Saccharomyces cerevisiae S288C: one gene and its partner. The gene in region 1 interacts genetically with each later gene. Each region holds a gene or a part of one and is shown in the gene's direction. Other genes may lie near its edges.

Region 1 (3,966 bases):
GCAATTAACAGGTTGAGAGGTGAGCTAGGACTACAAGCAATGGAAGACTTGCCAGAAGAGGAAATAACAGATCATAAAGTTCTTTCGGATGATATAGATTTAAGTCAAGCAACAATTGATGAGTTTGTCCATTCTGGTGTCAATTTATGCTTTGGTATTTTACAGGTTGTGATATCACTATTACCACCCGCTATTGGCGCGGTCCTATCTGTGGTTGGATTCAGGGGTTCCAGAGAAGAAGGTTTGAGACTTGTTTGGAAAGCCACAAAGCAAAGAAACGTGCATGGTTGTATTGGTTTGTTAGCCCTGATGTTTTACTATGATGGACCTTTCCAATTCACTGACGATGATTTTGATATTCCTGCAGCAGTTAAGGATTCCAGTAACAGTGAAGATTCTGAAGATGAAGAGATGGATGGCCCTACGTTGTTGCATCCTGGGAAAATACTGGAAGATGCGTTGCTGCAATCAAGAGCGCTATTTCCCAATAGTGCGCTATGGTTATTGAATGAGGCAAGGATGCTATCTGGTAAAGGGCGTTTAGAGGAAGCAGTCGCATTGATGGATTCGATTGATGTTAGCAAGATACGGATGAGACAGGTCAAATCCTTGATGATTTTTGACCGTGCTATAACATTGATCCATTTGCATCAATACGATAGAGCTGCAGAAGATATTTTATCGCTATTAGACATCAGTGATTGGTCACACGCTTTTTACACATATTTTGCTGGCTGCTGTTATTTAGAAAATTGGAGAATGTGCGAAATGGGATTAATGAAGTCAGACAAAAAGGATGAATACCAAAAGAAGGCCGAAGAACTTATCTTCACCTCTGTGAATTTGCTAGGTAAGAAAACCTTCAAATCGAAGAACCTGCCATTAGATAGGTTTATTCTGAGAAAAGTTGAGCAATTTAAAGCGAAAAAGGAGGAACTTGGGGTGGAAAATCCTCTGGATGGTATCGCTACTTCACCAGTACACGAAATTGCGTACTTCTACAATGGTTATAATAGAATGTCTGAAGAGCATTTGGAGCTAACAAAGAAAATGCTAACTGAGTATAGAAATCCCGCCATTGAAGCTTTAGACTCAGATCAGGAGTTAATCAAAGATCTCTTGGTCTCTTTGACATTAAGAAGATTAGGTCATATCCAAGAAGGTTGTGATATATTGGATGAAAAGGTTCTACCTAAGTTTTTCTCCATTCAAAATGGCAAGGTCAAATATATAAAGAAAACTGAAGATCCATGGGCCTATCCGACTGCACTTTATGAACGTGCTCTATTTACATGGAAGTTGGAGGGCATGGATGGCCTTCCAGAGAGTAAAGAATGGTTACTGAGGGCTCAGGGCTACGCAGATGATTATGAATTGAGTACGAGAGTAGGTATGAAAATTAAGGCTGCCATTGACCGCGTTGACCATTCATTGTAATCAAGTTTTGATCAGCCCTCATGCCCTTTTTTTTAAGAAATATTTTCCCCTATTAGTTTTCCTAATGTCCCACCTAATTTTAAAGCGCTAAGCTATACTTATTGACCGTACATACCTTGCGTAGTTTAATTACATACGATTTGATGCTTTCTCAGTGCCATCGTCCTTCCTCCTTGCGCAAAAAATAGGAACCCGCTTTAGAAAAGAGGAGAGGAAGGTGAAGAATGCTGTGAGTACTGCCTTAGTTTTAAGGTAGCTACATTTGTATTGATTTGTTACTATCCCAGCTACTATACAGGAATTATAGCCATTCTTTAAGTATATTTAATTTGTCTTTAGCGAATTTGGGTGTACTTGTTAGAGGCTTTTAACAATGAGTAGTGGTACCGAAAATGATCAATTTTATAGTTTTGATGAAAGTGATTCCAGCTCTATTGAACTTTATGAATCTCACAATACATCTGAATTTACTATACATGGACTAGTTTTCCCGAAGTTAATTAGTGTAACAAGCCAAGATTCAGAATTTGACATCAATGAAGATGAAGATGGAGTCGATACCATATATGAGGGGATGCTAGATGCTCCTCTTACGAAAAACAACAAAAGAATACTGTGTGAAGGGAGTGTACCGAATCTCAGTTATGAATGCTTAACCACCAAGGGTATATTTGAAAGAATGCTTCAAAGGGTTGACCATTTACAACCTATTTTTGCAATTCCATCTGCGGATATATTGATATTACTACAGCATTATGATTGGAACGAGGAACGTTTGCTAGAAGTTTGGACCGAAAAAATGGACGAATTGCTTGTGGAGCTTGGCTTAAGTACCACAGCAAATATCAAGAAAGATAATGATTATAATTCACATTTCAGAGAAGTTGAATTCAAAAATGACTTTACATGTATTATTTGTTGTGATAAAAAGGATACGGAAACATTTGCGTTGGAATGTGGCCATGAATATTGTATCAATTGCTACCGTCATTACATCAAGGATAAGTTGCATGAGGGGAACATCATTACATGCATGGACTGTTCCCTGGCATTGAAAAATGAAGATATAGATAAAGTGATGGGACATCCTTCGAGTAGTAAGTTGATGGATTCTTCAATCAAAAGTTTTGTTCAAAAACATAATCGTAACTATAAATGGTGCCCGTTTGCTGACTGTAAATCCATCGTGCACTTGCGAGATACGTCATCATTACCAGAATATACCCGTTTGCATTATTCACCTTTCGTTAAGTGTAATTCATTTCATAGATTCTGTTTCAATTGCGGATTCGAAGTTCATTCCCCAGCAGATTGTAAAATAACCACTGCTTGGGTTAAAAAAGCCAGAAAAGAATCAGAAATTTTGAATTGGGTCTTGTCCCACACTAAAGAATGTCCAAAATGTTCTGTTAATATTGAAAAAAATGGTGGCTGCAACCACATGGTTTGCTCAAGTTGTAAATACGAATTCTGTTGGATTTGTGAGGGCCCCTGGGCGCCCCACGGTAAGAACTTTTTTCAATGTACAATGTATAAGAATAATGAGGATAATAAAAGTAAGAACCCTCAAGACGCTAATAAAACCTTGAAGAAATACACTTTCTACTATAGATTGTTTAACGAACATGAAGTTTCAGCCAAGCTTGATTGGAACCTGGGGCAAACTTTGGGCACGAAAGTTCATGCACTACAAGAAAGAATAGGTATCTCATGGATTGATGGACAGTTCCTATCAGAAAGTTTAAAAGTGTTGAATGAGGGACGAACCGTATTAAAATGGTCATTTGCCGTGGCATATTACTCGGATGCATCTCATAATTTGACGAAGATTTTCGTTGATAACCAAATGCTCTTAGCCAACGCAGTGGAATCGCTATCGGAGCTATTGCAAATAAAAACCCCCGAAGTGATCATGAAACGAAGACCAGAGTTTTATAATAAGGCCGGATATGTGGAAAATAGAACCACTGCATTAATGGAATGCGGTAGAGAACTGCTATGTAAGGGAATTTGCAAAGCTGCAGAATGAATGTTTTGTTTTAGTATTGTTTTGGTTATTCTGTTGTTTTATTCATGTTTTTTGTACTGCGGGATGTTTGGTTATTTTGGAGTTTAAACGTTGTTGCATTTTTGTATATTTTCGTATTTTTTTATTTATTTGAACCTGTATTTGTCGTTGAAATACTATTTATATACACATTGTTGTTCCAATTCCTACAAAGTTATATTGTTTTAAAAAGATTTCAAAATTCTTTGAATCGGAAATGACGAGTAACAGCTAACTTACATTTTAGGTATTTAGTTCTTCTTTATTAAAGCCTCCTAAACAAAGTGGAAATTGAGGTGTAATGACGTACATCTCTTTTCTCTTTGTATTATTCTTTCACAACGTCCTTATTTCACAGTCAAGAATCTCTACCAGGCGCTGGACTTCTAATTTTCTTCTAGCATCTTCGATCCAGCTTTCGCAAACTTTATGAGGCCAACCCTTTAGGGAGACAACCTCTTCTACAGCATCGTTGAGGTTGG
Region 2 (4,882 bases), on another chromosome or scaffold:
AAGTAGGTCATGATAGTCAGGATTATGTAAAGACACTTGGTGTAACCCTGTATCGGCTGATTTATAATATCGAGAAAGATAATATAAGAAGCGCCTGAGAGTCAGTGGATCGATTATCGAAAATAGAATAGAGACGTTCACGGAGACCCACTGAATGTTTCGTATTAAAGGAGGGATGACTACTAAACCATTTTCACCGCTACTGGTGGCCATTTTGTATTCTTCCATTTACAAGAATTGCTCCCGACTTTTGTTCCATCAGTGGACGATAGACCATTGTCAAACACAGTAATTCTATTTTATTCTTGAGATGAGATGCCGCAATATGACCTGATATGAATCACCCTAAATGTCCGATCTAAACAAATAAAAGGCGTGCGAAACAGCCTCACGACGAGATATGAAGTCGAAAACATCGGCCTAATTTCTGTGCTTTTTAGAAGACTACTCAGATTTTCAATATCAATACAGTGAGTTAGATCTCAGGTTGAGAAGAAACACTTTGATTTTACTAGATAGGAAAGAAAAATGGACTAATTAATCAATCATTTTGTCATCGTTGAAACTTGATAACGCACGCTAAACGATAACGACTATGTTGGAGGGAAAACATTAACGATTACTCTTTTAAGTAATTGCGAAGTATATCTGAGACTAAAGACCCTCTGAATTAATTATATCAATCAACATAAACTATAAGAAACTACAGTGTGAGCTTTAGTTACGAGAGTGTGGATCTGTTCATTTAATATTTTTTATACGTAACGCAGCATCTACCGTAAAATCCCATAGATTGCGGGCACATGGCGCAGTTGGTAGCGCGCTTCCCTTGCAAGGAAGAGGTCATCGGTTCGATTCCGGTTGCGTCCATATTTTTAACATTTCATTTTTTTTGGGTTTAAATTTATTTTCAAACATTATTAATTGATTTCTTTAAAAACTTATACAACGTATGCTAATACTTTAAACTAAACCTTTTAGAACTATAATAAAACTATTTCAAGTAAAGTCTTTTTATCTGATATCTTGATTCATTTATAATAAAATTAAGTGACTATAGAATAGTGCAAGTGGAAGCGTTTTTCTTCTTTTTCTTTTGTTGTGAAGTAGCGCTAATTCCTGTCCTGTTGCTAGAACCAGATTTCGGAACGGCATGTGACGGTTTGTGCTTTTCATTAACCGGAGTAGATTGTTTAACTTTAGCTTGTCCTTGTGAAGATTTGTTATATAAACCTTTTGATGATTGCTTATTGTTTGATTGTTTCGTATCCTGTTTCGCAGAACTAGGGAGCCTGGTTGATGGAGACTCGATTTTGCTAAATTGTTGACTTTGATTTCTTGCGTCTTTAACTGCAACACTTTCCATTTCATTCCGAATGATTTGCCTAACTAAATCAACGAACACTTCATCCACATTGCTCCTCAACAAAGCGCTTGTTTCATAAAAGGGAACTCTACCCCATTTACTGCTTACCTCTATACCTTCTTCCACACTTATTACCCTTTCATTGATTAGATCAGCCTTGTTACCTATTAGAACCATTGGAACGCGATCGGAATCTTTGATCCTAAGGACCTGTTCTCTTAGCTCCATTAATTCTTCCAAAGATTGCCGATCTGTTACTGAATATACCAACAGGAACCCCATTCCTGACTTTATGTATAATTCTCTCATTGCAGTAAATTGTGCTATACCCGCTGTATCTAAAATTTCCAGGTCGAATACCTTGTTATCGATCTCGATGGTTTTCCTGTAAGAATCTTCGATCGTTGGATCATACGTATCCAAATAAACTCCCTGTACAAACTGCACGGTTAAGCAGGATTTACCGACACCACCAGCACCCAATACTACTAATTTATAGTCTCTCATTAGTCCTAATGTTTCCTAGCCAAATATTTCTAAGCGATGATAGAAGCCAAAATATTAGAACGTTGTATGTAAATGTTCTATATCGTTACTAAATAATAGTATTATTGTTCAGTGGAGAGGATGAAATTTCAAAAACTTCTTGGCGTAGTTAAGAACGAACGCAATGGTTCTTTTTTTCGAGATCGAGCTCTACTTTACTTTTTTCTTTTTCTGTCCTTCTCTCTTTTCTTTTTAACCTTTTTCGACGATATTTCGCGTTTGAGAATGTCGAGGATGAATGCGCTTTGACGCGAATTAGTTGTGAGGCTGACGTTGTGATAAAAAGGCGATGATTCTTGGGAATATACAGTCTGTTTCCACTTGCTAGATAAAATGTATGATATTCCAAAAATGCCTTTCTCTATTGAACTGTATGACTGAGATACGCCTGCTTTTACCTTGTATATTATGAGTACTATTCGCCTTTTCCCATAAAGTTGTTTTTTTCTGGGGTTTATGTGTATCGTAAATGGTACAAAATAATAAAATTCTTATCTTGAAAATACTGTTTAATACTTTTCATCATTACTAAATAGGTTACGAAAAGAGGTCTTTGAGAAATGGGAAAGGCCTGTTTGAATAAAGAAGTCGGCACTTACGAATGTGAGGGGGAAAGAGATACCTACTCATTTTTTACCTCTCTCTCAGATATACAGGATTCAAGTAGTAACGAGGAACAATGCGGTGTAGGAAGTATATTGAGTGAAGATAGTTTCACGTTTGAAGGGTCCAACGTGAGCATACGGTTATTTTCCTTGGACTTAAATGCCTTGAATGAAAATGAGAATGGATCCAAGAATCCTGTGAAATTTACCATTCCGCCAAAAATAGAACAAAGAAAGGAAGCAAGACAAAGAGAGAAACGTTTAAGGAGGGTGGCAGTACTACCTGAGAATTCGAGAAACTACCTTGTTGAATCAAGTATGGATTCAAGTAGGGAATACAGTCAACCATTTTTTGACTGGAGGCATGAAATGGTAGAACATGGAGAGGAGAGTGTAAAACCGTGTGGTTGTCATAAATCGAGAAAAGCAAAATGCTTCAAAGAACTGGAGATGGAGAATATAGAAAAGGGCGATATAAAGAAGAGTCTCTTTTACAGAGACATAATTGAATGGTGCAGAGACTATGAAGTCAATAAAACTAGGGAAGTCTGTGTTCCGTCTATACACGAGTTTTACCTACATGGAAATGGAAGTGACAACCTCTTTTGAAGTATAGCCATGCATATAAATATATGTGTGTGTAAGAAAATATTAGAAGTTTTCATAATCTAGAAATGTCAGGCTTTGGGCCTAATGGCACTATACCAAACTGATTGATCTTGTTCCTACTTACTTCCATCCTGATGTAAAAGAGCTTAATATGATTAAAATCTGTAGTAAATCTAAACTCTGCGTAATTCCAGTATAGATTAATCAACCACAAATGAAGGTACGGGAAACCATCCCTTATAGTTTTCAAATTGCATTTGAAGTGCTGCACGTACACGACGTCAAATCTAATTATTGATGGATACAATCTGATATCCGCTTCAGTTAACCTCTGTCCTAAAACAAAATATTTAGCCAAGATTTTCTGTTTGTTACCACTGAATTGCTCCTCTAAGCGCTTATAATTTTCTTTTAGTACACATTCCATCTTCTGCAAGTTTTCAAACAGTGTTTTTACTTCAGTTTCGTAAATCTTTCCGTTTTCTGCTAATCCGACTTTATAGACACCAAGATTAATCTTCGGATGAACCCATTTGATGTTCTTATCAATCTCGTCTATTAAATCATGCGGAACTAGATCAATCACGTTCGTTTCTTCGCTTTGGATAAATTCATCAAACACGCCACTGTTCAAAATTCTTATGATATCGCCACTCTCATTGTTAACAATTTTCCTTGTTTTAGAATCCCACAGAACAGGCACAGTGAACTTTGTACCGGGGTACTTAGGATCATTTAAGTAGTACAACTCGCTTAACCTTGATATATTTTCCACCGGGTCGAAAGCGCCATCCACGAACAACCTTGCAGAGTCATTGTTCACATCACCTAACTCCTCAGATTCGTCTAATTTAGCTGAAGCAATGCCACCAGTGGCAGTAAAGAATCTCTCTTTATATTTTTCCGGCCGGTGTGGAGCAGGTAAGAAACGGGCACCCTTGGAGTCTAATTGCCAGTGAGATAACACAAGCCCTAGAACAGGTTCTAATTTCTTCAAAGACCTGGCAAGAATGGCTCTATGAGTGAATGGACACCCAAGGGCCCCGTAAATATAATACCTTCCTTTTTCTGGTTTAAAAACAGAATGTGTCTTAGAAATTGTTCCCTTGTAAGATACTGACATGGCTTACTGTTTATGATTATTTTTACGAGTATTTTCCTCTATAAGTGGCCATCTCTCCAATTGGCAAAGTCAAGACTTTTGTTATGTCAATATGTGCTACCAAAAATCAAGGGTATTTTCCCACCAGAGCTTATCAATGGCAACTGTGAGATATGAACAGCAGTTAGTAAGGGTGTGTTCTCATCCGACCCTCTGATTCATTTGGTGGCCATTACATTTTCCCTCAATGACACATTCCCCTATTTCATAACTGATTAAAATGGTAATGGCACGTGATAGTAGTGGCTCACAAAACAAAATTTTCTTTCTCAGCGCTGACAAAGCTTCATTTGCATTCTAACCTTATCACAACAACTTCAACTTCACCCAAGTAAGGATAATCAGCTCTGTCGTGACTGATAAATGCTATATCCGGCATATGCAGTCCACACGGCATTACCGTTTCACTAATTTATTGCCATCTTCCTCCACAGTTTTGCACCGAAAGGAAAAAAAGAAACCAACACCGAAAATTTTTTTCTCCTAAAGGTTAAAGTAAACGCAAGGCACTTCACCAGGCTTGTATATATAAATGTCGTGATGCTTCTATGCCAAAGTAAAAGGCAACACTTGAAGATTTCGTTGTAGGCCACT

What was found. A genetic interaction does not mean that the proteins touch.
Region 2: mutations in HEL1 (region 1) and YGR153W together harm fitness more than expected from each alone (negative genetic interaction), as found in Saccharomyces cerevisiae (one large-scale study listed by BioGRID).

What each region holds. Positions count from the first base shown.
Region 1 is NC_001143.9:471,194-475,159, reverse strand, and holds HEL1 (E3 ubiquitin-protein ligase HEL1), read left to right. Parts: upstream 1-1,810; coding exon 1,811-3,466; downstream 3,467-3,966. Other genes in the region: YKR018C (uncharacterized protein), read left to right, coding at 1-1,437; MIC60 (Mic60p), read right to left, coding at 3,821-3,966. UniProt on the Saccharomyces cerevisiae protein: Probable ubiquitin-protein ligase involved in the degradation-related ubiquitination of histones. Contributes to the post-translational regulation of histone protein levels by polyubiquitination of excess histones for subsequent degradation.
Region 2 is NC_001139.9:793,620-798,501, forward strand, and holds YGR153W (uncharacterized protein), read left to right. Parts: upstream 1-2,472; coding exon 2,473-3,126; downstream 3,127-4,882. Other genes in the region: Ras family GTPase RSR1, read right to left, coding at 1,055-1,873; GTO1 (omega-class glutathione transferase), read right to left, coding at 3,179-4,249.